Linked DNA regions of Ovis aries. The protein of the gene in region 1 interacts with the protein of each later gene in a pairwise test. Links are inferred from orthologs where the notes say so. Each region holds a gene or a part of one and is shown on either strand. Other genes may lie near its edges.

What was found.
Region 2: the proteins of VPS52 (region 1) and AAMP interact in a two-hybrid assay, tested with the Homo sapiens proteins (2 studies listed by BioGRID and IntAct). The link is inferred for Ovis aries from reciprocal best matches to the Homo sapiens genes VPS52 and AAMP.
Region 3: the proteins of VPS52 (region 1) and NFKBIB interact in binary tests that used the Homo sapiens proteins (3 or more experiments, as listed by UniProt). The two-hybrid records come from large-scale screens. The link is inferred for Ovis aries from reciprocal best matches to the Homo sapiens genes VPS52 and NFKBIB.
Region 4: the proteins of VPS52 (region 1) and RNF41 interact in binary tests that used the Homo sapiens proteins (3 or more experiments, as listed by UniProt). The link is inferred for Ovis aries from reciprocal best matches to the Homo sapiens genes VPS52 and RNF41.
Region 5: the proteins of VPS52 (region 1) and PPP1R18 interact in binary tests that used the Homo sapiens proteins (3 or more experiments, as listed by UniProt). The two-hybrid records come from large-scale screens. The link is inferred for Ovis aries from reciprocal best matches to the Homo sapiens genes VPS52 and PPP1R18.
Region 6: the proteins of VPS52 (region 1) and MFAP1 interact in binary tests that used the Homo sapiens proteins (3 or more experiments, as listed by UniProt). The two-hybrid records come from large-scale screens. The link is inferred for Ovis aries from reciprocal best matches to the Homo sapiens genes VPS52 and MFAP1.
Region 7: the proteins of VPS52 (region 1) and GOLGA1 interact in binary tests that used the Homo sapiens proteins (3 or more experiments, as listed by UniProt). The two-hybrid records come from large-scale screens. The link is inferred for Ovis aries from reciprocal best matches to the Homo sapiens genes VPS52 and GOLGA1.

The regions. Positions count from the first base shown.
Region 1 is NC_056073.1:7,583,037-7,586,051, reverse strand, and holds the end of VPS52 (vacuolar protein sorting-associated protein 52 homolog), read left to right. Parts: intron 1-1,200; coding exon 1,201-1,312; intron 1,313-1,480; coding exon 1,481-1,599; intron 1,600-1,804; coding exon 1,805-1,951; 3' UTR 1,952-2,515; downstream 2,516-3,015. UniProt on the Homo sapiens protein: Acts as a component of the GARP complex that is involved in retrograde transport from early and late endosomes to the trans-Golgi network (TGN).
Region 2 is NC_056055.1:220,305,940-220,309,936, reverse strand, and holds the start of AAMP (angio-associated migratory cell protein), read left to right. Parts: upstream 1-1,197; 5' UTR 1,198-1,248; coding exon 1,249-1,369; intron 1,370-1,837; coding exon 1,838-1,993; intron 1,994-2,641; coding exon 2,642-2,761; intron 2,762-3,274; coding exon 3,275-3,414; intron 3,415-3,668; coding exon 3,669-3,813; intron 3,814-3,997. UniProt on the Homo sapiens protein: Plays a role in angiogenesis and cell migration. In smooth muscle cell migration, may act through the RhoA pathway.
Region 3 is NC_056067.1:47,982,114-47,986,238, forward strand, and holds the start of NFKBIB (NF-kappa-B inhibitor beta), read left to right. Parts: upstream 1-1,325; 5' UTR 1,326-1,390; coding exon 1,391-1,569; intron 1,570-3,797; exon of another isoform or gene 3,798-3,870; intron 3,871-4,125. Other genes in the region: SIRT2 (NAD-dependent protein deacetylase sirtuin-2), read right to left, coding at 56-102, 937-952. UniProt on the Homo sapiens protein: Inhibits NF-kappa-B by complexing with and trapping it in the cytoplasm.
Region 4 is NC_056056.1:163,342,686-163,346,185, forward strand, and holds part of RNF41 (E3 ubiquitin-protein ligase NRDP1), read left to right. Parts: exon of another isoform or gene 1-2,309; coding exon 2,310-2,581; exon of another isoform or gene 2,582-3,275; coding exon 3,276-3,411; exon of another isoform or gene 3,412-3,500. UniProt on the Homo sapiens protein: Acts as E3 ubiquitin-protein ligase and regulates the degradation of target proteins. Polyubiquitinates MYD88. Negatively regulates MYD88-dependent production of pro-inflammatory cytokines.
Region 5 is NC_056073.1:27,438,566-27,442,571, forward strand, and holds the start of PPP1R18 (phostensin), read left to right. Parts: upstream 1-1,206; 5' UTR 1,207-1,279; exon of another isoform or gene 1,280-1,931; intron 1,932-3,015; 5' UTR 3,016-3,042; coding exon 3,043-4,006. Other genes in the region: NRM (nurim), read left to right, coding at 207-488.
Region 6 is NC_056071.1:53,261,622-53,265,121, reverse strand, and holds part of MFAP1 (microfibrillar-associated protein 1), read left to right. Parts: intron 1-1,132; coding exon 1,133-1,352; intron 1,353-2,464; coding exon 2,465-2,594; intron 2,595-2,863; coding exon 2,864-3,051; intron 3,052-3,500. UniProt on the Homo sapiens protein: Involved in pre-mRNA splicing as a component of the spliceosome.
Region 7 is NC_056056.1:10,987,164-10,990,663, forward strand, and holds part of GOLGA1 (golgin subfamily A member 1), read left to right. Parts: intron 1-673; coding exon 674-771; intron 772-2,261; coding exon 2,262-2,294; intron 2,295-3,500. UniProt on the Homo sapiens protein: Involved in vesicular trafficking at the Golgi apparatus level. Involved in endosome-to-Golgi trafficking. Mechanistically, captures transport vesicles arriving from endosomes via the protein TBC1D23.

The DNA.
Region 1 (3,015 bases):
TTTATTTGTACAAGAAATGGAGTCATTTGTCACGTAGAATGCCGTACAGTCTGGATTTTGCTGCCTGCCTTGCATAGCATGCCTAAGCTATTCCTCTTTTCCCATAAATGTGTGATTCAATGGAAACGCTTGATCAGATTCCAGGTAGATTTTTTTTACAAGGCTGTTTGAGAAGTAGTGGTGTGTACTTCTCTCAGGGCACTTAATGTCTTCTTGGCTTTCTTTTTGCCAGTGGCCATCAGTGATCACCACCCAGACCATTAGATTTCTAAATCTCTCAATGTCTCAAAAATTTCCATCTCCTTATCTGTGCTGCATTTTGAGTCATTTCTTCAATTGTAAATTCCAGTTTGCTCAGTCATTTTTCCAGGTACATCCAGTCTGCTGTTTAGCCAGCTGACATAAAAAAAAAAAATTTTTTTTAATGTTTTTTTCTAAATCATTTCTTTTAAATCCCATTTTGTTTCAAGTCTGTTTCTGATCTTGGTAGTAGGTCACGTTTGTGTGGCGTCTTTAACTTCTTTGAACATTGCATACAGAATATGCAGCTGCTCTGTGTGTGACAGTTTTAACACTGGCAGTCTTCGGAGGTCTAAGTCCACTGCTTACTGTCTATTCTGACTCGTCGTAGCTTGCTTGCTTCTGTGACTGGGTATCTTCGGGCTCTTTTCTTGGTCTCAATCAGGGGTAGTCATCGGGGCCTAAATGGGGATCAGGGAGGTTTCAGAGAAGGCTTGCCTCTGCTTTTGTAATAGCTGAAAGTTGCCATCCACCTGGGTCTACACTGGCACCTCTGAGAGGCTCTCATGAGACCAAGCTCAGCATCTCCACTCAAGGCCTGCATCAGCTCAGCTTCCTGATAGCAGAGCTGCCGTGACCACTTACTTTTTTGTAGCCCTGCCTCTCCCAGGCGCTCAGGGCCCACTTCTCTGGTTCTGGCCCTCTGCTCCCAGCTCACTTTTTTAAATTTAAACAAAGGTTTTGTGGCTTATTTATTTATTTTGAGAAGGGAGGAGATTTCCCCTACGTCTTGTGAGACCGACAGTGTCTTAAAGTATATGACCTTTCTAGAGGTTCGCTGTTGTTATGGGAGTGTTCTAAGGACCTAGTTGGTCATGGTGCCAGAATTGGGAAAAGTCTGCCCCCCCCCCCCCCCCCCCGGAATCTGAGCTCTGTGTGTGTGTGTGTGTGTTCCTACAGGAATTCATTGAAGAGTTGCTGTCTCCCCCCTTTGGGGGCCTGGTGGCATTTGTAAAGGAAGCCGAAGCTTTGATTGAGCGAGGACAAGCGGAGCGACTCCGAGGGGAAGAAGGTCTGAGGATGGGGTGGATGGGGTGGGGTGAGGGGAAAGAGGATGGGAAAAGAAAACTGCAAGGATGCAGATTACATGGGGAGGGCGAACACCAGAACGGGGTTGCAGGGTGAGGACCTAGCGGGATCAGACATCACTTAGCCATGATCTTTTTCCTCCTCCTCTCAGCCCGGGTTACTCAGCTGATCCGTGGCTTCGGCAGTTCCTGGAAATCATCGGTGGAGTCTCTGAGTCAGGATGTGATGCGGAGCTTCACCAACTTCAGAAATGGAACCAGCATCATCCAGGTAACCTGTGACTCCCGGTCCCCATTCGCACCCCGCCCCATCACTGGTTTGCCCTCCTCTTTTCTCGGGGCTCGGAATCATACAAGTGACCCTTGATCTTCAACTACCAGCTGTGCCCAAAGTTCTGGCCGAGCCCTAAGCTGACGGCTATCATCATCCTTAGAATCACCCTGCATCTCATCCCTCCGTGACTTTCTCTGAGCAGGGAGCTTTGACCCAGCTGATCCAGCTCTATCATCGCTTCCACCGGGTGCTGTCTCAGCCACAGCTGCGAGCCCTCCCTGCCCGGGCTGAGCTCATCAACATCCATCACCTCATGGTGGAACTCAAGAAGCACAAGCCCAACTTCTGAGGCGCCGGGCCCTGGGGGCCACCAGCCCTCTCCATGGACTTCTGAGCCCCATCCTATCCCCCTTTTCACCCGGGGCTCCCTGCCAGTGCCCCTTTGCCTCCTAGGCTCTCACAGGCCTCACTCTGCCTTCATTCCTGGGACTGTGCTTCGTCAGGATAAGCCGGATCCCCTTGGCTTTGGGCATGTCTCATGTCCAAGTTTCCCAGGACCACTCGCTCCTGGGCTTCCAAACTAACCTCCGTTATCTTTCCAGTGTTGTCATTCCGCTCTTTCCTCCCACTGCCCCACCCCCAAGGCCTTTTTCTTCTCCCAGTAAAACCTTCTGGTTCACTCAGCTCTTGTCATCGTGGCATGAGGTGTGACGCCTCGACTCTTGGAATTGTTGTGGCAAGGGAAGACTGTCTCATAACGGTTGACTTTTTTTTCCCTTCCACTCAGTGATTTATTTTCTGTAGCTTTTTGACCTAAGATCTCAGCAACTTGAACACTAATCAGTCGCCTCCTGGCTTCAGAGTTACATCAAGGTCAGTGTGCAGAAAACAATAAATACTTAATATGATACAACACTCTTTTCCCATTTCTTTTCTCCTCCTCCTGGGAGAGGAGGTCCTTCAAGTAGCCCCGTCTCTGCCCCAGGATCACCTTTGCTCTCTGCCTCCTGGGCCTGCATCCCTTTCTGGTGGGTGTCCAGAAACTCGGGGCCGTGGTTACCTCTAACCTGCAGCTCCTTCAGGCCAAAGTGGCTGCATTGGTTTTAGGGCGGGAACTGTTTCAGGAGTAACCAACCTGGCTGAGGAAGTGACCCTGGTGAAAACGGCAGATGCCGGCCGCCTCGGCTCCTCTAAGGCAGACACCGGCTCTCCTTGCCTCTGGCCTCCCCAGGTTGACGCTGGGATTGCCTTCTCTCCTTGAGGGTCAGCTCCCTAGCTCCTCCGGTGCGACCGTCACAGCCCTTGCTAGGGGGCTGCAGTTGCCATTGCGCTGGGCCGTGAGCAGGCCAGGTCTGCAGTGTGGCCATCTCATCCCTTCCTGTGTCTCGGCCCCTTCCTGCTGCTGCCGCCTTA
Region 2 (3,997 bases), on another chromosome or scaffold:
GTCAGTTAAGAGAAGAGGAGAAGAAAGCCTAGGGAGGACTGGTTGAGATCTGAGGAAGGGGAGTGACTGCAATTTGGAGTAACAGGTGCCTGAGAGAGTCCAGAGGGAAATGGGAAAATCGCCATCGAGGTGGCACCTTTGAAAGCCGCTTCCACGTCACTGCAGGCTCATCACCCTAGTGCCGGGAGAGCGAGCTTCGCTGTTCTTCATCTCCTCAGACCTCAGGATGTGAAGGGACTGCAGTGGGGCTCGCGTGAGACGTGTGAAAGAAAATCCGAGAAATGGTTTGCAAACTGCAGAATGTTAGCACTGGAGGGGGAGCTTAAAGGTAGTCTACTCCATCCCCTCATTTTATAGAAGAGGAAACTGAAGCCCCAAGAGACGAACCGCTTCGCCCAAGGTCAAACTGCTAATTATCCGGGGCTAGAACCCAAGCCTCCAGAAGCCCAGGGCCCTTTTCCTCTGCACTGCGGTGAGTGTGAAACACCTGGAGCGCGGGGGTCTAAAAGGCTTCCTTGAGGCTCCCTTTCCGTGCAAGACCCCAGAGGTGTCGTAGGCTGAGGGATGGACTGGTTGACTTTTAAAGAGCACCTTTTAGCCCCCAGACTCTAAAATCCTGCAGAGGGATGCGGGCAACAATCGACAGCCCTGAACTCCTGCTACAGCTTAGCGGGATGTGAAAAAAAAGGGTATCCCCTCCAGTCCCGCCCTCCCCGGGGTCCCTCTCCTTACCCCGGAGAACGCGGGCATTTCTCGCCCCTCGGCCCTTCAGCGCCGTAGCAGCTACCACCGCCGCCATGTTCAGATCCCACCCCCCCTTCACCGCAGTCCCCGCTGGGAATTGTAGTTTGCGTAAGGGGCCTCCCCCGCTGTATCCGTCCGGCCTACAGATCAGAAACTACAACTCCCAGAAGCCCAAGCAGCGTACCCAAGAGAACTACTCTTCCCAGGAGAGCCCGGAAGCGCGCACACTCGCTTGTTTCCCTCCTGTTGGGGGCGGAGTCAGGTCGGGCAGAGTTTGGGTTCTCCTCTCCACGCCTCGGCCTCGTCTCCCGCTTCTGCCCTGTGATTGGTGACTCAGCCGGTCCACCCCTTTCGCTATTGGTCAAGAGGCCGTCGCTCTCCCTGCCGGGGAGTCGCCTACGCCTACTTCCTCCCGGGAGGAGGGGCCCGAGTTCCGCGTCGTCGCGCAGAGCTGACTCTGGGAGGCGTTTGGGCCCAGAGAAGTGGGTCCGCCGCTTGCGCCGCATGGAGTCCGAATCGGAGAGCGGGGCCGCTGCTGACACCCCCCCGTTGGAGACTCTAAGCTTCCATGGTGACGAAGAGATTATCGAGGTGGTAGAACTGGACCCTGGTCCTCCGGACCCGGGTAAGAGCTGCGGATCCTCAGGCCATGGGACAAGAGGCTCTTACCCCTGGCTTTTGACCCCGGCTTTTCCCCCCTCTGCTCCCCACCCCACCCCACCTATCATTCCTACTTACCTCCTTCGCCCTTCCCCTCTCCCCCAGCCCCACACTTAGTTCTCAGGCCTGGCCCGGGGTGGGGGTTCCCCTGACGCCTCCCCTGGCCCTTCCCCTCACACACCCCCTTCCCATCATTCCTTCGGTCCTCCCTTCCCACACGGTCTCTGGCCAACCCCAGATCCTCAGAGCTCTCCGGTCCTTCGTTCCGCACGCCCCCTCCTCCCTGCCGCCTCTCACCCCCTCCCCGCTTCACCCCTCCTGTCTGACCTCACCTTGCCCTCTCGCCACATGACCACCCCAGCCTCGGGCCTCCCCACACTTGCCATCCCTCTTCCCGCCTGCCGCACACCGTCTGTTAACCCTCTCCCCAAAGCAGACGATCTGGTCCAGGAGATGGAAGATGTGGACTTCGAGGAAGAGGAAGAAGAAGAGGGCAATGAGGAGGGCTGGGTCCTGGAACCCCAGGAAGGGGTGGTCGGCAGCATGGAGGGCCCCGACGACAGCGAGGTCACTTTTGCATTGCATTCTGGTAGGTCCCTGGGGAGAGCTGTCCTAAGATCAGTCCAGGTGGACATTAGAACATCATCCGCTGTGTAGCGGTGGGAAAATGTTGCCTTTGTGGTGGAGGAGCTGTTGGCTCCTGGAGTCGGTTGAGACACACTTGGGTTCAAATCCTGTCTCTGCTATTTGGTTGTTTATGATCTTTATTGACGTCTCTAGGCTTTAGTTTCCTTTTAAAAAGTTGTCATTGATAAAAGTTCCTTTACTCTGAATTAGGGATAATAGTACCTTATGGATAAACCTCTTAAATATTAACTTTTGATAAGGAACCAGTAACACAGGCTTTCCTCACTCAGCCCCCAACCTGGTGGCATCCCACTCTGAGAACTGTAAGCCCTACACACGTCCCCTCCTCTTGTCCACCACAGAAGTGTGGGGTGAAGGGAAGAGCGCAGGAGGGTGATGTGTCCTGGGGAGGGACTTAGAATTTGGCAAGCTTGGGGAGGACTTCAACAACTGAATGCTTGAAACTTAGAAGAGCTTGGATGCACTCTTCTTTTCTAGGAAGAAAGACATGTTGCTTTAGGTGGAACGGGGTGGGCTCCCCAAAGGTCCTGAAGGACGGGACCTAGGTGGGATCCCCACTTCCTTACTCTTGGAATATCTCTTGGGACAGCATCAGTGTTCTGTGTGAGCCTGGACCCCAAGACCAACACCTTGGCAGTGACAGGAGGCGAAGACGACAAAGCCTTTGTGTGGAGGCTCAGCGATGGGGAACTGCTCTTTGAGTGTGCAGGTGAGGGGGCTCGATGAAGTCCTGCCTCTTTGGAGGTCTTAGGGGGCTGGCCTGCAGTGGTTGTACATCCAACAGCCATTTATTGACCTCTGTTTTGCCAGCTCTATGCTTATCCCAAGAGCCCCAAAGAATAGCCTAGTCTTTTGTGGGCGTGGGGGAGGGAGACGCTGATTGGCCAAGGGAGTCAGGGAAAGAGTTGGAGGAGGCGGCACTAGTGACGGAGAATGGGGGTGGGAAGGAGGCTGTGGATATTTCAGGCAGAGGTGTGATGTGGACAGAATGGGGAAGACATAAGTCTGGGCTACACACGGTCAAGTGGGGGCCCAGCAGTGTCTTGCCTGGGGAGAGCTGGGGGTGTTGGCCTCTGCAGCAGCTCTGAGTTTGGTTACCTGTTCTGTGGGGACTCATCCTGTTTTTCCAAGCTGGTACTTTCTGGGGGCTGGACACCTGGGTCCTGTATCCCCAGCACCAGGTACCCCGACATTCTCTTCTCTTTCTGCTCACTCTCTGCAGGCCATAAAGACTCCGTGACTTGTGCTGGTTTCAGCCATGACTCTACCCTAGTGGCCACAGGAGACATGAGTGGTCTCTTAAAAGTGTGGCAGGTGGACACAAAGGAGGAGGTCTGGTCGTTTGAAGCAGGAGATCTAGAGGTGAGACTGTCACAGTAGGATTCAACTCTGAGGGCCGAGTGGAGTGGGGAGAGCTCAGGGGCCCATGCCACCTTGAACGGATCAAGCCAGCTCTGAGCCAGTGCTCTCCCAGAGGATAGCAGGAGTGTCTGGGCCCGTCACCTGGGATGTCCCCACTGACTCGGTAGCAGGGAGAGCTTGGTGGAGTTCCGGGGGCAGGCTTCTAGGCAAGATGGGGTAGGGGGTACCCCTGTTGAGCCTTTGTCTCTGCCCAGTGGATGGAGTGGCACCCTCGGGCACCTGTCCTCCTGGCGGGCACGGCTGATGGCAACACCTGGATGTGGAAGGTTCCGACTGGTGACTGCAAGACCTTCCAGGGCCCCAACTGCCCGGCCACCTGTGGCCGAGTCCTCCCTGATGGTGAGAGTGGCATTCCTGAGTGTGGACACGTGGGGTCTGGGTTCCATACCTTCCTGGCACCCTCCTGGGCCATGGTCAGCAAACTCCGAGGTCTGCTGTTGGGAGCAGGGACCTCCCAGGACCAGAGCAAACAGCTCCCCCTTTCTCACCCGGAACTGGGCCTTCCTTGGGGCACTGTCTGCTC
Region 3 (4,125 bases), on another chromosome or scaffold:
GTGGGGTGTGGGAAGTCCATCTCTCTCCTTCCCTCCACCCTTGTCCCCATCTCACCTGAGCCTCCTGCACCTTCCCTGCCTGGGTCTCCTCAGGGTCAGAGGCTGGGGGAGGAGGGGGAGCAGACGTGGTTACAGTGAAGGGATTGGTTAAGGGGGAATGAAGGGCTTCTAAGTCGGGGTAGAGAGGGGCAACAAGACCTCCAACCTAGTTATATGGGGTGGGGGTATCAAAAGGGAGTAGATGGAGGGAGGGAAAGGAAGAAAAGCAGATCTTATTAGAGTGGAGAGTGCTGGGAGGAGAGGTGGTTGGTGAAGGACAAAGAGGCTGGGACATGGAGGCTTAGGAAAGCGAAAAGAAAGTAAAGCATATAAGGGCATGAAGGAAGACTTAGGAGGAGTTAGGAAGGACACAGTAGTGTGTGAGTGTGTGCTGGGAGGGTTAGGTTTACAAGCAGAAGAAAATGTAGAAAGAAAGAGAAGATAAGGGATACTGGGGCTGGAGGCAAGTTTGCAAGAAGAGGTGGTGGGGGCGGAACGGAAGGGCGAGATGGCAGGTTTACAAGAGGAAGGAAGAGATAGGAGGGGACACCAGGGGTCCCCAGCACCCTACAGTTCCCACTAACAACCAGGTACCCTTAGCAACCCGGACAGCGGTATTCTAAGTCCCTAGTAACAAGGGTCCTTAGCAACTAAGGTGCGAGACACACGCTATCATTAGTCACTTAGGGGAAGTGGCAAACGGACCCTTAAAACCTCGAGACCCAGAAACCCACCAATCTATCCAGCAATATATATCACAACGGCTCCCTGAACCTCATTCCCCTCCATGCAGCCCCCATCTCCTGCCCCACCACTCCCGCCCTCGGGCCCCGGGGCCTGCAGCCCTCAGCCAGGCCCCGGCGCGGCCCGACCCTCCCACCAGGGCCCCCGACTCACGATCCGGATCGGCCATGGGCGCGGGGCGGGGGCCCTCGGGACTGTCACCGACTGCTCTATCCCGTGACGGCACCGGAAACAGGAGGGGGGCAGAGATAGGTCAAAGAACTACAACTCCCAGGAGGCATAGAAAAACGTCCGGAGCGTGCCCCTCTGAGGTAAGAAGAGACACGCGAGAGCCGGACTACGAATCCCAGAGTGCCTCGCGTCCGCAGCCATGTTGGTAAAGGGCGCGCGGAATGAGTGGGAAAGGGTAGAGAGTCGCAGTCCATCTGAATACTCTGATTGGTCACGGTGTAGTATGAGGGCGGGGCGCTTACTATTTAGCCGACTCTGATTGGATGAGTCCGGGGGGAGTGTTGGGGAATTCCCAGCAGGGCGGAAGCGCCAGAATTCCAGGCAGAGCCCAGCGACTGGCGGGCAGCCGCTGGGGTCCCCTGAGGCTTTGGGGGCTATGGCCGGGGTCGCGTGTTTGGGGAAAGCTGCGGACGCCGATGAATGGTGCGACAGCGGCCTGGGCTCTCTGGGTCCGGACGCGGCGGCCCCTGGAGGACCTGGGCTAGGCGCGGAGCTGGGCCCGGGGCTGTCGTGGGCGCCCCTCGTTTTCGGCTACGTCACTGAGGATGGCGACACGTGAGTGAACCTTAGCCTGCCACACCGAGCCTTAGGATGATCCCACATCTGATTCCCTGTTAGTCCCTGATACTGATTTTCCAACCTCTTAATCCTAAATCTGTCTTCTAATGCTTACTCTGACCTCTAACCCCCGAGTCTAACCCTTGATAAAATCAATTTCCAAGCTAGTTTTTATCATAACCCCGTCCTTTCTGAAACTTTGGCCCTCAGAGTTTCATATCCATTGACTAATTCCACATTCAAAACTCAATTTGAGCTTCCTGACCCCAGTCCTGAGACCTATCTTAAAACTATAGCTCACAGGCTCCTTCTGACATCTCACCTCCAAATATGATCTTTGATCCTTAGCTCCTAATTTAGGAGCTTTAAATTTTGATTTCCAAAATTAACATTTGGCTTTTGACTCTAAGATCTCCCACTTTCTGAGCACTGATCTTCAAATCCTACATTGAAAGAGAAAATGTAAACTCTATGACAGCAAGGATTCATCTGTTAAACAAGTATTTATCTAGCACCTACAGCGTTTCAGGCCCAGTTGTAGATGCTGGTGATAAAGCAGTGAAGAAAGCACAACAACTTATGCCTTGTGGAGCTTACGTTCTAGTGTGGGGGGTCTATAAATGGAAGGGCAGACAGACTGACAGGAAGGAAGAAAGGAACAGTAGGAGAAACAAAAAAGAAAGAGAGAAGGAAAGAAAGAAACAGAGAGCCGTATAGACACAAAGTAAGAAAGAGAGAGGAGAGAGAGAAGAAACAGGCAGAAAAACGAACGAAAGAAAAATGGTGTGTCAGAAGACAGGAATTTCCTTGGTGAAAAATAAAGCAGGAAAGAATGAGACAAGTAGATTATCTGGGGAGAGTATTCCAGGTAGAAGGAACGACGTCATAAAGACCTAATTGAGGGAATGTACCCGGGGTTTTTGTGTGTTGTGTTTACTGCCGTAGCCCCAGTGACAGAACGGTGTTTGACCCATAGGAGGCGCTCAAGAAACACCGGTCTTCCCAGAGAACCAGCTGTGCTTTCATTTATTTTCTCTCGTCTCTTTTTTTGCTTTCTGTTGTGTTTATCTCTGTTTTGACTTTCGTTATTTACTTTCTTCTGCTTACTTTGAGTTTATTTTTGTTCTTTTTCTAGTTTCTTAAGGTGAAAGCTGAGGTCATTGATTTGAGGCCTTCCTATTTTTCTAATATAGGATTCATGTGAATTTCCCGAAGTAGTGCGTGAGCTGTATCTCATCACTTCTAATGTGCTGTGCTTTCATTTCCACTTAATTCAGTATAGTTTCTAATTTCTCCTTTGATTTCTTCTTTGGGCGGTGGATTATTTAGGAGTATGTTATTTAGTTTCCAGATATTCCGAATACCTTCCTTTTATTGGTTTGTAGTTAAATTCTATTGTGTGTGCAGTTGAAAAGAATGTCTGGTATCTTGTTGTTGAGTGTAGTTCTCCAGATGTCAGTTAGAGGTTGTATGGGTTTCTTTTCTAAAACTTTTATTGATTTACTTTTGGCTGTGCTTCGTCTTTCTTGCTGCCCACGGACTTTCTCTAGTTGCGGTGTGAGGGCCTCTCATTTTGGTGGTTTCTCTTGTTGCGGAGCAGTGTCTCTAGGGCACAGGCGCAGTAGTTGCTTCGCGTTGGTTTAGTTTCCCCGAGGCATGTGGGATCTTCCCGGATTAAAGACTGAGCCTGTGTTCCCTACCTTGGCAGGTGGATTCTTTAGCACTAGACCTGTAAGTCCTGTGCTGGTTTCTTTGGTTCTTCTCTTTTCCAAGTCTATTATATCCTTGCTGGTAATTTCTCTCTACTTGATCTATCAGTTACTGAGAGTAAGGTATTGAAATCTTTAATAATAATTGTGGGTTTCCTTGTTGTTTTATCAGGTTTTCCTTCATGAGACTGGATGCTCTGTTATAAGGAGTGCAAATGTTTAGGTTTATTGTGTCCTCTTCCTGAACTGACCTCTTTATCATTGTGAAATAATCTGCACTATCCCAGGTAATATTCCTTGCTCTGAAATCTTACTCTTATTTTAAAACACTCCTACTTACTTTTGACTGACAGGCGTTAGTATGGTATATCTTTTTCCATCTTTTTATTCTTAACTTAGTTTTAAATTTATTTGAAAAGCTGTTACTTGTATAGTTAGGTTTTGCTTTTTAAAAAAAAATGTTTATTTTTAATTTATTTGGCTGCATCGGCTCTAGTTGCAGCATGTGGGATCTTGTTCCCTGACCAGGGATTGAACCCTGGCCCTCTGCATTGGAAGTGCAACGTCTTAACCACTAAACCATCAGGGAAGACCCTAGGTTTTGCTTTTTTATCCACTCTGACAGCTTCTCCTTTTTTAAAATTTGTGTTTATTTAGCTGTTTCTTTTTGGCTGCACTGGGTCTTGGTTGCTGCACACAGGCTTTGTCTAGTTGTGGCGAGCGGGGTATGCTCTCTAGCTGTGCTGTGCAGGCTTCGCATAGTGGTGGTCTCACTTGTTGGGGAGCACGGGCTCTAGAGCACACAGGCAGTTGTGGCACGTGGCGTTAGTTGCCCCACGGCATG
Region 4 (3,500 bases), on another chromosome or scaffold:
AAGGAACACAGATGACTGAACTGAATGAAAATCAGAATGCATTCCAGTGACAGCAAGCCCTGGCCCTATCGCCTGCCTTTGCAGCCTGCTGCCAGGTGGCGCTAGTGGTAAAGAACCTGCCTACCAGTGCAGGAGATGTAAGAGATGTAGGTTCGATCCCTGGGTCAGGAAGATCCCCTGGAGAGGGAAATGGTAACCCACTCCAGTATTCTTGCCTGGGAAATCCCATAGACACGGAGGAGCCTGGTGGACGACAGTCCATAGGGTTGCAAAGAGTCAGACATGACTGAAGCAACTTAGCACGCACGCATGCCATTAGAAGCAGATTGGCTGGGTGTGGAGCAGGCTGTCCTCGTGGTGTCAAGAGGTCATGGGGTGTGTCAGTTCCCTCTCCACCCTGACAGGGCCTTGTCTGTTTTCTGGCACCGTCATTTGAGGTGAGTCACGTGTGGAGAAATCAGTGGCAGTTAGTGACTCTCTGAGACAGAAAATCCTCCCCCACCCACTCAGGCTTTACTGTCTGAGGAGCAAGCCAGGTTAATAGACGCATGTCCAAGGACAGAAAACTTCTGCTAGGGATGCTGATTTCCCTACATCATTTTTTTAAAAATAGATAATAAAGTCATATGGTTTAGAAATCAAAACAGTAGAAAAAGATGTATGGTGAAAAGTCTTAATTCATCTTTGTCCCAGTCCACCTAATCCCCTCATCAATAGCCATTTCTGTTAATTTGGTATCCTTCCAGTGTGTATGGGGGCAGATACAAGCAAGTGTGAATGTACACATATATTTGCCTACCTTTCTTACACAAAAGTAGCGCCTTCTGTATACTTCCGCAGGGGTGGCAGGTTTAGATAGAAAGGTCATGAAAGAGGTTCAACTGAGCTGAGATCAGAACGATAAGGGGCCAGCAAAGGGGAGCAGCAAAAGCAAGAGACAGTAATGAGCAGGGTGGGATGAGGAAGAGAGAATGCCAGAAGGGCCTGAAGTCAGTGCTGGGAGCATGGTGTGAGGAGAGGCACAGGGCCAGATCAAACAGAATTTTTAAGTCCTGGGCAGGAGTTTGGATTTATTTTAGGTGTAATGGGAAACCATTGTAAAATTTTAAACAGGTGAGGAATATGATCCAGTTTGCATTTCTAAATGATCACTCCAGGTGCTGAGTGTAGGGTGGATTATAAAGGGGTAAGGTGGAAGCAGGAAGACCAGTTAGAAGACATGATAATTTAGATGAGAGGTGATCACTTGAACTGGGTTAGTGGTAGTACAGATGGAGAAAAGTGGACACACCTAGGATTTTTGAGATAGGGTCTAAGATTTTGAAAAGAATCAAATATTATTTGATTCACTTTCAGCGAAAGTGACAGTTGGATTAATGATATTGATAATGACTTCTTTTCTTATGAAGCCTTTGTATGTTACAATCTGAGCATTTTGAAGGCAGAAACTGTCTTACCTTTTTAAATTTAACCACGTAGCAAAATGTTTGGCTCATAAAAAAGCGCTCAGCATCATTCATCCATTCATCAACATCTAGTAAGTGCCCGCTCTGTCTGTCCCATGCTGGAGGCCAGAGAATCCTCTCACTTTGCATTATCAAGGAAGTAGGCTGAAATATGATCTTTATGAAACTGAAGAGAATGTGATTCTACAAAAATCTAGACCTGTTTTGGAGCGTAGGCATTGCTCCTTGGGACTCAGGGCAACACCTCGGGTTGGGCCTCATAACATAAGAACTTGGGGGAGCTCCCTGGTGGTCTAATGGTTAAGGATTTGGCACTTTCACTGTTGTGGCCCAAGTTCAGTCCTTTGTTGGGGAACTGAGGTCTCGCAGCCAAAGAAAAATGAACTTTTGCCAGTAAGTCTCTGCCCCCCTCCCCCCAGTTCATCCCTCAGGACCCATATCAAATTCTGTCCTGTCCATAAATACCTGCCCTGACTGACCTAGACTGGAAAGATCTCACCCTCCTCTGGATTTTTTGGCCAATTATTGTATATTTGTAATCCAGTTGGCATTTAATAATTGACCACCTTATGTCTTGCACTCACTGTCCTGGAATGTTATTTATAGTTCTTATTGTTATATAACTTTTTACTTGTCTTATGTCACAATCCATTTGGAATCTTGAGCACAGGAAACACATCTGAAGCCTTACCCATCGCAGATCTCACTGTTGCCGTGACCCCAGGGACCTCTGGCGCTGGAAGCTGCACAGCGGCTTGATCGGCTTTGCAGAGTTATCGTCCCCAGGCTCCTGGCTCCGCTAATTCTCTTGTGTCCCCTTTGCCCTGCTTTAACTTCTTCCAGGCCCCTCACTGTGAGCATGCTTTCTGCAATGCCTGCATCACCCAGTGGTTCTCTCAGCAGCAGACGTGTCCGGTGGACCGGAGCGTTGTAACGGTCGCCCACCTGCGCCCAGTACCTCGGATCATGCGGAACATGCTGTCAAAGCTGCAGATTGCCTGCGACAACGCTGTGTTCGGCTGCAGTGCTATCGTCCGGCTTGACAACCTCATGTCTCACCTCAGTGACTGTGAGCACAACCCCAAACGGCCTGTGACCTGTGAACAGGGCTGCGGGTAAGAGTCCTGCCTTTCTTCTGCCCACAGAGAGGGGTCTTCCCGTTTATACCCATCTGTGGACCTCCCACTCCCTGCTGAAGAGGTCTCCTGTGTGCATAGGCAAGGAGTGCTCTTGGCCTCCCTGGCTCCCTGCTCCAGGATCTGTTTTGTGCTGCTTTCCGAGCTACAGTCTTTGTCCTCTTGCTTTAGTAAGAGAAGGGAGACCGCTTCAGCAATCTGTGTGATACCACTAAAGACTGATTTACTTTATTCCTCCCTTTTGTCCAGTACTACTTCTCTTTGTCAGATTCACTGCTCTAATTTCCAGGCCTTTCATGTTACCTCTGGTCCTATTTTGTCTTTCTTTGGGGTGTAAGATATTTGATTAAATACTGATAGCTGGGGCTTTGAATCTAGGGCTTCTCAGAAGGAATGAGTCCACAGGCAGAATCTGTAAGAGGAACGCAGAGCCACGTGGGAGATAAAACACTGTCTTGGAGAAGGAAAGAGGCCCAGAGGAAGAAGACAGCAAAGGGATATGGTGGGTGGGGGAGCTGGGGAGAAGGAAGTGAAGGCAGTAAACAAGAGAATGTTAGAAATGAATGAATGTTAGTAATTTCCGGTAGAGAAAAGCCCTCTCAGCAGTTACCTGCCTGTGCCACATATCTCATTGAACGCTCCTGTCGTGTTCTTTTCCCACCCTGGGTGGCAGCCTGGAGATGCCCAAAGATGAGCTGCCAAACCACAACTGTATTAAGCACCTGCGCTCAGTGGTACAGCAGCAGCAGACACGGATTGCAGAGCTGGAAAAGACCTCAGCGGAACACAAACACCAGCTGGCGGAGCAGGTAGGGCCTGGAGAACACAGAGTGTGTGCCTGTGGTTGATAGGCACGGATGTGAGCGGCGGATCTGTGCCTGTGCTTGTGAGCCTGGTT
Region 5 (4,006 bases), about 20 Mb from region 1:
CCCAGCCCTCCCTCAAAGGCTAGGAATCATGGGCTTCTTGGGCCTGGGAAGGTTCATGGGCCAGAGATGAGGGTCAGGGACCTCCAGTCTCAGGAGGGTGGTTCCTGAGCCTGTCATAGAAGGAGGGTGCCCAGGACGGGAGGAAAGAGGCAGTTAAGTTGTGACAAGGGCTTGGCTCCATTCCTAAGCCATTCTCCCTCTGCTAGGTGTACTACCATGTGCTGGGGCTGGGCGAGCCTCTGGCCCTGAAGTCGCCCCGGGCTCTGAGACTCTTCTCCCACCTGCGCCATCCAGTGTGCGTGGAGCTGCTGACAGTGCTATGGGTGGTACCCACCCTGGGCACTGACCGCCTGCTCCTTGCTCTCCTCCTTACCCTCTACCTGGGCCTGGCTCACGGACTGGACCAGCATGATCTCCGCTATCTCCGGGCCCAGCTACAAAGAAAACTCCACCTGCTCTCCCGGCCCCAGGATGGGGAGGCCGAGTAAGGGGTTAACCCTGGTTGCAAGCCCTGTACTTCCTCTCTCCCTCCTATCCCAAATTCCCTTAACATCTAGGCCTTGGCTGCTTCAGACCAGAGGCCCAAATCCATGGACTGAAGGAGTGGTCCCTTTCCTTGCTTGAGCCTCCACTCCTTGGTTCCAGCTCCATACTGAATTTCAGCCATTGGACTCCAAGGGCCACTTCTCACCAGCCAGGAAGGAGTGGCTGGGAACTTCTTCTCACAGTTCAGGGCTTGACCCTCCGTTAACAATTTCCTCACCAAGAGAAGAGTCTGGCTTGACCACTCCCTTAGCCCTGTTACTACCCTCTGTGCCTCAGGGATCCTTTCTCCACGTCTAGCTCCCTCCCAGGGGCTGGACCGAGGCCCACTGTCTGGCCTTTTCAGCTCCCTAGGCCCCGACCCTAGGCTCCATCCTCCTGAACCTAGTTGAGCGGTTTCTCCCGTTCTTAGCTAAGGTGACTAGAGGCTCCCTGCTTTCCCGAGGAACTCACGCTACAGGAAAATAAAATTCAGTCTGGTTTTTCTACGTGTAGAATGCAGTCTGTCAGTGTCTCTCAAAGCTGCAGGGCTGGCTCTGGGAAAGGCGAGTTACATTGGAGTCTGGGCATCGGCCGCGCCTTCTGGTGACCGCTGGGCGGCGGCCACTCCCCGCGCACCCAGCCCTCCACCCCCTTCCCGGAGCACCCGGTCCCCCTTCCTCCAAATCTCCCAATTTCCTTGCTGCAGACCCGGGTGGGGGACGGGCTGAAACGGAAGAGTGGGGAGACGGTTCGGGTAAGGGAGCGAGCTTCCGAAACCGTTGTCTTCCCAGCCCTGCTCCTGTGGCCGCCCCCTCCCCACGGGCCCCGCAAGCGCCCCCACGGTAACAAAGGCTGGCCCGGGAAGGCAAAAGCGTGGGGAGGAGCGGCAGGAGATGGGAAGGGCGGGCCCGGCTCCGAGCAGCTGCCGCTTCCTCCCGAAGTCCCTCGAGGGGTCTGAGTCACGGGCCGCCGCCCCGGCTTGGCTAGCTGGGGGTGGGGGTCTGGACACCTGGGCTGTCCAGGGTTACCGGGCGGCAGCCGCGTGAGAGGCCCTGGGGAAGGACCGCGGAGTGCCGGGGATCGCGGCGGGAAAACAGGAGTCCCGGGGCCGAGGATCCACGCGGGGGACCCGGGGAGCGAGGCTCCGCCCCCGCGCCCGGCTCCGCCCAGCGCCCCCTTCCCTCTCCCCATTGTCCTCAGACAAAGCGGCGGCCGCCCCCCGCTCGGCCCCCGGGTCTGTCTCCGTCCCTCCCCTTCTCCTCCCTTCCCCCCTCCCGCGCCCCCCGCGCCCCCCCCCACCTCCTGCCCCGGATCTCCCTCTATCCCTCTCTCCTCCTCTTCCTCTCTCCTCCTCTCTCCGGACGTCAGGCTCCTTCGCACCCCCTCCCCCGGGAGCCCCGCGGCATGTGAGTTGACCCAGGGGCTTCAGACTTGGGGAGGGGGTGTCCCCTCCCTTCCGTCCCGGGCGCGGACCTCGGGCTGCCTCTCCTCTCTTTGTGCCGAGATTGCCCGTCAGTGCGGTCATAGCCGGGTGGGGACGGCTGGCGAGGTCGGGGTTCCATGAGCGCCGAGACCCCGGCGCGAGACTGGCCGGCTCCGGAGAGAAGCGGTGTGGAGCCGGTGCTCCGTACGCCTGAGGCGCTCGCTCGCCCGGGACCCCGGGGCATCGCCGGTGGGGGAGGCCGGCGGCGGGGCCCGGACCGGGTTAGGGTTGGTGGGGGGTGGACGCCAGGGTTCTGGGAACGAGCTGGCAGCTCCGATCGCCGGGTTCCGAAAGTCCCCGGGGGAGGGTATTTCCCCTGGCCCGCCCCGGGGCGGAGTGCAGGGCGGAGGGGTGGGGGCTGGGGGGTCTGAGAGGCGTGGCTCAAGCGGAGCTGGAAGGGGAGCCCGGACCTCCGGGGCCCGCGCCGAGACTCGCCCGGCTACAGCCGCCGAGCTCCCTCGCCCCTCTGCCCCCGATTCCCCCTTCTCCCCTGGACCTGTCCACTCTCCGCCCTCCCACCTTCCCGACACCCCTTCAGGTCCCACTGCCCCCTCTCCGCCGGGGATCCCGCTGACCTCGCTTCCCACTCCCGCCGCTCCTGAGGTAGCGGTCAGGCAACCTCGGTCGGATCCTGCCCCGCTCACCCCCAGCCTCTCTTCTCTCTTCTCCCTCGTGCCAGCTTCTTTCGTTTTTCCCTCTTCTCACAACCTGGGGACTGTCTCTGATGCCCAGTAACCTGTACCCACAAATCTGACTCCTGTCTCTTTGCCCTGAATCTCCACTGTTCCTCTCGACCCACCTCCCCCAACCCCATCACCTGGCTCTTAGTTTCCTCTTCACTTTCTCAGGTTTTCCCCTTTCTCTGCTCCCCTCCGCCGCCCCCTTTCCTACTGTCCTCACCCTCAGCTCCTCTGTGACCCACCTCTCCCCCTGCTTCCTCTCCCCCACCCCCATTCTCACCTCCTGGGCCCCTCTGGAGCCTCTCCTTCCTGTTCTCTGCCCCCCAGCGTTCCCCCACCCTCCCCAAGGCGACCATGGCCACCATCCCAGACTGGAAGCTACAGCTGCTAGCCCGGCGCCGGCAGGAAGAGGCAGCCGTTCGCGGCCGTGAGACGGCAGAGCGGGAGCGGCTGTCGCAGATGCCAGCCTGGAAGCGGGGCCTTCTGGAGCGCCGCCGGGCCAAGCTTGGTCTGTCTCCTGGGGAGCCTAGCCCTGCGCCTGGGACTACGGAGGCTGGACCTCCAAACCCAGACGAGTCTGCTGTCCTCCTGGAGGCCATTGGGCCTGTGCACCAGAACCGATTTATCCGGCAAGAGCGCCAGCAGCAGCAGCAGCAGCAGCAGCAGCAGCAACAGCAGCGGAGTGAAGAGCTACTCACGGACAAACGGCCTGGACCTTTGGAGACCCGGGGGCGGAGACCCAGCCCCGGGGAGACACGGGATCCCAGCCCCAAGGGAAGAGAGTCCAGGGAAGAGCGGCTCAGTCCTAGGGAGGCCAGAGAGAAGAGGCTGGGGATAGGGGGCGCTCGAGAGTCGAGCCCCAGGCCTTTGGAGTCTCGGGACTGGAGGCAGAGCCCAGGAGAGGCTGGAGACAGGAGCTCTAGACTGTCAGAGGTGCGGAAATGGAGGCTGAGCCCTGGAGAAACTCCTGAGCGGAGTTTGAGACTGGCAGAGCCCCGAGAACAAAGCCCCAGGAGAACAGAGGTGGTGGACAGTAAACGGAGCCCCGAAGAGTCTGACAACCAGAAGCTGGGCCTGACAGACTCCCATAAATGGAGGCCTGACCCCAAAGAGTCTCCGGGACAGAGTTTGGGACAACTGGAGGCATCAGAGTGGAGGCCGAGTTCAGGAGAAGAAAGAAAAGACTGCTCAGAGGAATGGGGGAGAAAAGACGAGAGGCCGATTCCAAGAATGGACCCAGAAGGGACCACAGCGTCGTCAGAGACCCCAACAAGGGAGGCTCCAGACAGTCGCTCTGCAGGACCAGAGGGAGCAGAAG
Region 6 (3,500 bases), on another chromosome or scaffold:
CTGTATTTTCTAATTATAGGTAGCCAATGTACAGGTACATTTATTTTTATCTAGTATTTATACACCTTTCTACTTGAATTTTTTAAGCTTCTCTGGTTATCTTGTATTTTCGACATAAGTAATCATACTGGTTGCAAATTGTGGCAGTTTCTTTCTTTTTAATTCTTACCTTTTATCTCTTTCTTTTCTTACTGCCCTGAAACCATAATACAATGTTGATCAGAAGGTATGATAGGGACAACCTAACGATGCCTACTGTTTTTTAAAGGAGTGCTTCTAATATTTTATCATTAAATATATTTGCTATATCTGTTGTTAAGATTGTGTGACTGTAATTATATAAACTTTAAAAAGTACATTACTTTTCCCCCCTGTTAATTTTCTAAGGTTAAGCCATCCTTGTAGTCCTGGGCTAAATTTTAATTATGTCCCTATAGTTTAGAGGGGCTTCTTGGTTAGTTTTTATGTTGCCTGTATCTATGTTTGTAAATGAAGTCCACCTAAAGTTTTCCCTTGAACTGTCCAGCTTGGTTATCCAAGTTGTATTCATCTTAGAAAATGTTTTGCTTTGTTTTCACTGTTTTTCTATTCATTGGAACTGTTGTAAAAGACATAATCTACTCTTGCAGGTTTGGTAGCACATAAGCTAAAAGAAAAGGTAGAAAGAAAGATTAGAAGATGGAGTTATGTGGTAATAGATTATAGAAAGACTGCCAGAGAAATATCTTGAGGAACTAAAAGAATGAACGCTATTTTAATTTTATATTCCCACTTAAGTCACCCTTACTGTGTGCTGGGCACTGTTACAAATAATTCACTTAAGCATATAGTTAAGGTGGATGTAGTCTCCCTATTAGGAGGGACTTTGTATTGTTTCACTGCCCACCCTTCCTCCACTCATTGTACCCAAGCTAAACTTCATTATCATTAGTTCTGGTGTTCACAGGAATGCCTTCTCATGACTTGGCCTTTGTAGGAAAAAGATGTAGTTGAATAGATGGTTGGGTCAGGGCTCCTTCCCCTGCTTGGACCTGGTTTGCCAGGAATACAGGGCTTTTTTGCCTGGAAAGGCCAAGGGTTGAAGGACATTGGGAAAGAGGTTACTGAAACGTAAGTTCTGTTTCTTACCCAGGTGAAATTTCGATGGAAAAAGTGAAGGTAAAACGTTATGTGTCAGGAAAGAGGCCAGACTATGCCCCTATGGAGTCCTCAGATGAGGAGGATGAAGAGTTTCAGTTCATTAAGAAAGCCAAAGAACAAGAAGCAGAGCCCGAGGAACAGGAGGAGGATTCATCTAGTGACCCTCGGCTGCGGCGTTTGCAGAACCGTATTAGTGAAGATGTGGAGGAGAGGTAATGACAAGGGTTATGTTATCCTGGGCGTGAACCCAGCAATAACTGCTAATACTTGAGTCGCACTTCCTGTGCACCAGGCACTGTTCCTGGTATATTACTTTAACTAATTGTTGTAATCCACATGATGACTTTATGAGGGTATGATTCTCCCCATTTTTACAAGCCAGGAAACTACAGCAGAGTGGGGTTTGGAAAATGACTCAAGGGGATTGAAAGCACAGATCGCTGGTTGGTTTGTTGTGGGGTCTTTGTCGCACAGAGATGTTTTCTAAAATTTGAGAAATTGACCTTTTCCAGGTAGTTATTCTAAAAGCTAATGAGGAGAAATGATACTGACAAAATAGGAGAAAAGGACTGATGAGAGGTCTCATGTCAGAAAGGGACTCCTTCCAACGAAGGATTTTGTGTATTTTGTATTGACTGAGACATTACCTTACAGAGTAGCCAGAGGTTCCCAACTTTCACAGTTCATGTTCTCAGGAGTTCTTTCACAGAGCCTCTAGGCCCAAACAATTCTCTTTATTTTATTAAGTAGTTAGAGCCAAATGATTTAATAAATATTTATGTCCTAGCAACTTAGGAACTTAAAAACTTTAATACCTATAAAAGAAAAACCATTTTTATTTCATGTTTGCATAACCACAATTACTTAGCTTTGGGGTTTGTGTGCCTCTTGGGCACTACCAACTTCTCAAACCTTGGAGTCACCTTGGCACAGTCACTCATTTCCTGTTCTCTGTTGACTTTCATGCAGAACTTGCTTTTTATCACAGCAGCCCAAAAAAAGGTTTATAAAGTCACGATACCATTGAAAGGAAACATAATGTGATCTGCTGTTAAAACTCAACTACGTTGAGCTTTACAGTATATCCCAGTGCACCCATCTAGCTTGGTACAGTGCCCCAGGGTGCCTCAGCATACATGTAATGGTTTAGGTCCAACTTGACTATTTCTTCTGACACTTGGAGTTAGTTTCTCTAGTCTGCACCTCAGTTTCCTCATCTCAGAGCTTCAGTGCTAGTAAAAGGAAACATCATGTCCTGGCACTCTGTGACTGAGGAAATGTCCTTTTGGTGAGGTTGGTGTTACAGTCAGACACTGTCTTTCAGATTGGCTCGACATCGGAAAATAGTGGAACCGGAAGTGGTTGGAGAAAGTGACTCTGAAGTAGAAGGGGATCCTTGGCGCATGGAACGAGAAGATAGCAGTGAGGAAGAGGAAGAAGAGATTGATGAAGAGGTATGGTTAAGGAAAGTGGGAAGTTCTTTCTGGGTGGAAGAAGAAATTAGGGCCAGTGCTCCTTTGTTGAGGCCTTAGAAGCACAAGATATCTGCTTTTGGCAGAAGTCTGATCCAGTGCTCCCTACTTGTTTTGGATAGGATTGAAATAGAGTGGTACTAAGTTGCATATACTCAACCAGAATTTGTTGAGCTTGATGAGGTAAGAATAAAAAGCCACTGCAGTGCACAGGCCATTTGGCTGACTGGCCTGGACATGTAACTTGATAGGAAATAGAACGGCGTCGCGGCATGATGCGCCAAAGAGCACAGGAGAGAAAAAATGAAGAGCTGGAGGTCATGGAGGTGGAAGACGAGGGACGTTCTGGGGAGGAGTCCGAATCAGAGTCTGAGTATGAGGAGTACACAGACAGTGAGGATGAAATGGAGCCTCGCCTTAAGCCAGTCTTCATTCGGAAGTAAGTATGTCACAAACCAGGCCTGAATCCACATAATTACTGCTTTCTGGGTCTGGAGACGGAAGCCTCTTTTCTCGCTCATGCTCTTCTGAAATGTAGGCACTAAGTAAAAGTCTTCTGTCCAGTGCCCCAGCTCAGCAGAGTGTTTGCTCAGGAGTATCTTGGTATTGGGCTTCCCAAGTGGCTCAGCGGGTGAAGAACCCACCTGCCATTGCAGGAGCCATGGGTTCGATCCCTGGGTTGGGAAGATCCCCTGGAGGAGGGGATGGCGACCCACTCCAGTATCCTTGCTGAAGAATCCCATGGACAGAGGCGCCTGGCAGGTTACAGTCCATGGGGTCGCAAGGAGTCAGACACAAGTGAAGCGACAGAGCACGCACACACGCATCTTGGTGGCAGTCTGAGTTAGTTTTCACATCTCCTTTCCCACTTAAAGAAAACACACCTGC
Region 7 (3,500 bases), on another chromosome or scaffold:
TTAGATTTTAGGAAAATCTAGGGCCTGTCCATGGGCCTAGATTAAGAAACTTTGGTTCTAGCCATAGCTCCGTATCTGCTATGTTCAATAACTGGGGGAAATCTCTGTCATCACTCCTCCAACAATGGACATACATTTTGTTTAGTTTACCCTAAGTTATATGTTTTCCTTTGGGTTCAGTCCAAGAAAGATGCTAGTAGAAGTAGAAAGTTATTTTTTATGGGTATAATATGTGCTAAAAAAAATAATTTTTTAAGGAAAATAAAGTGAAAGAAAGGTTTGTTTTGCTTTGTTCTGACTTTTGTTTTAATTCTATTAAATAGTAGTAGCCATCACTTAGCAATAGCACTGGTGTTTTCTGGCAGGCTACCTGACTCAGTGTTCTATCACTGTATCATTTTAAAAGTACCCTTTGACATCTTCCTAAATGTGTATACTTGACTATAACAACAGCAACAACAGCAACCAATAGGAAACAAGCTAAAACAGAACTGAGGTCTATTACTAAGGCCGAAAGCTTCTGGGAAAGTCAAGATGGGTCAGGTTTTTCCCAGTCTCATAATCCACTTTTGTGACCGTGGCCTTTTTTGTTAGGTGTTACAATCACATGGGCTGTTTGTCACGCTGTTTCTGAAATATCTCCATATCTCAAAGAGAGCCTCTTTATTAACAGCTTCCATGAGGAAATTCCAAGAGCAGAATGAGACGTTCCAGGCCAACAGAGCCAGAATGGCAGAAGGGCTGGCTTTGGCATTGGCCAGAAAGGACCAGGTATTTAACGTGTGGCACTGCCCAGACTGGGGGGAAAGTCTCACTTGGCGACATGCTTTCAAAACTCATGCCATAAACCTGGTAGGAAATATGTACAATCTAGGAGAAAAGGATTGTGCTTTGTAAGTTCTTTGAAAGTTCATTTGGCTGTAGGGTGGGAAATTATCCAGAAACTTTATAGTTGTGATCGTAGAATGTGTCCATATGTGAGTATCCTTTTCCAACTGTGTAGCTGTGTAAAATAGAGAAGGAAAAGAAGTAGTATGTCCATAATCTGGTGATGAGCTCCCCCCAAGATGAGGGAAAAAAGAATCTCTGCCCTCCAAAAACCTGTCTGAAAGCCTGTCCCAAAGCACTTACCTTGTTATAGTGGAGAAGGTGCTATTAAGCTAGCGATCATCCATGATGTACATAGTTCTTACAACCTTTGTCCCAAGTTTCTTCTTCCCCAGCCAGCTAGACTGAGAGGAATTTCTGTAACCTCAATAGAACCATCCATTGAAAGATGCTGAATAAATGACAGTAGAAAAGGAAAATAATACTATTACTGGTTATTACAGTAATTATAAAGTTTATTTTGTTCAGTGGCATTTTAAATTTAGGATAAACATCAAATATTGTAATGATTGTGGAGAAGGAAATGGCAACCCACTCCTGTATTCTTGCCTGGAGAATCCCAGGGACAGGGAAGCCTGGGGGGCTGCCATCTATGGGGTCGCACAGAGTCAGACACAACTGAAGCGACTTAGCATGCTTGCATTATAATGATAACACTTGTTTTACAGTGTGTATTAGTCATCTCAGACATTAACCAGCTAGGAAAAAACATCATTCACCAATATTTAGTGAATAACTGTGGTGTGAATGTAAATGAAGAAATAATCTAGCATTGGTGGACTTGATTGTAGGCAATTAGGATATAGCCTTTTGTCCCAGTGGTTATTTTTTACCCTCTTCTGTGATTGGTGAATAAGAGGCATAGTCCTTTCTTCTTTAACTTTTATCAGATGGCATGAAGGATATTGGTAAAAATTAAAATGAGAAGGAAAATAATGATCAGGGACTCCTGAAGACCACCCTGTTCACCTCTTTTTCAGTAAATTAATTTTTAAGTGTCAACTGCGGAGTTACCAACTCAGCTGCTCCCTGCTACCCACTCCTAAGAAATAATAACAGTACTCAGAGACAGAGACTCAGAAAGAAGGTGAAAGCTGCATCAGAAGAGCTATATAGCTTTATGTGCTCTGCTTTGTAAAAGTTTTCTGGCTTATATTTGTGCTCTAGAATTTTATATAAAATTCATTTTCTTCTCCTTTTAGGACTCTTGGCTTTCTTACTGTTAAGCCAACATCGTGGCTTTTTTAATGTGCTATTTTGTTTGATTGATATGTTGCTTTGGGTGAGGTGGGAGGGTTATTTTGTTTTCTGAAAATCTTGATTTTGTTGATACTCTTGCCTGGAAACTGTACTTCTTTATTGTTTTGTTTTAGGAATGGTCAGAAAAAGTGGATCAGCTTGAAAAGGTTAGTTCATCTTATTTTTGTCTCCTTGTGAATATTGGCCTCTTCTCTGGGGCTTGGAAAATGCTTTCTCCAGTACCTAGTACACTGGTACCACTTCTTGGCAGCAGGGTGCCAGGTGATTAGACACTGACTTGGAAAGCTCTTGTCTTCGTTTATAGTTGTGATCTGTTGTTTGCCCTTCTTGGTGTACTCTCTACCCATCTCCTGCCTTTCTCTGTGTGTCTGAAGGCCCATAGGGACTGCATCAGCAGGGCTCCGTTGCCCTCTGGCTTGTAATTGAGGGCCCCAGTGGGGAACACCAAAAGATCTAGGTGGAAGAGTGTGATCAGAAGTTTATTCCCCCAGCCATCTCCACGTGAGGTCCCTTCTATTTGATTGCATCCCATGGCCAAAGGTCACAGCTTCAGTTTTACCTGTGGTTCACCCTCAGCTATATAGTTTCTCTTTCTGTGTTTCTTGTCTCTTTCTTGTGTTTCTTCTTTATGCCTTTGCCCCCTTTATGCCCAATGCTACTAGCACATTATCTCTTTTGGATTTTCTTACCCCACCCACAGCTTTGAAAAGTCTCTATGAGACTCTCCAAAATCCCTAATTTGAGTCTGCTTCCTGCTAGAGCCCAGATTGACACGGTGTTAACACTGGGAATACTTTTTGAGGATGCAGTGGGGAAGGAGAGCATTTCTGAAGGCTTAATGCTGAGCAGATAAGAGAACTTCTTAGCTAGACATAGATGAGAAGAATTGATTATTCCAGCACCATGACACTGTGTAGGTGCCTTATGTAATGTGTTCCTGGCTCTGAGACATGAACAGGAAAATGAAATTTCACACCTACAATTAGAAACACATTTTAATTTAAAATAATCAATTGTCAGTTTGCTCAACCCAAATTATATGCTGCTTCCTAATTCATTCCTTCTTTTCATTCAGTACTTATTCTTTATGATAGAAAATGATTTCTCAGATTGATATATTCAACTATATAATATATTTACTATTAATTTTATTAAAATAATGAGTTTTATTATTGCACCATTCTTGGGATAAAACACCAATTAAACCAGCAGTTTTCTTTGTGTGTTCTAAAGAAATCTGATTATGCAAGCTATCAGAATGTCTTAACATATTTATGTAAGGGAAGAATTATAGAAAAATCAAGCTATCTCCCAAAGAAACTTGTGTTTAAAAGAAATATGTATATATACAC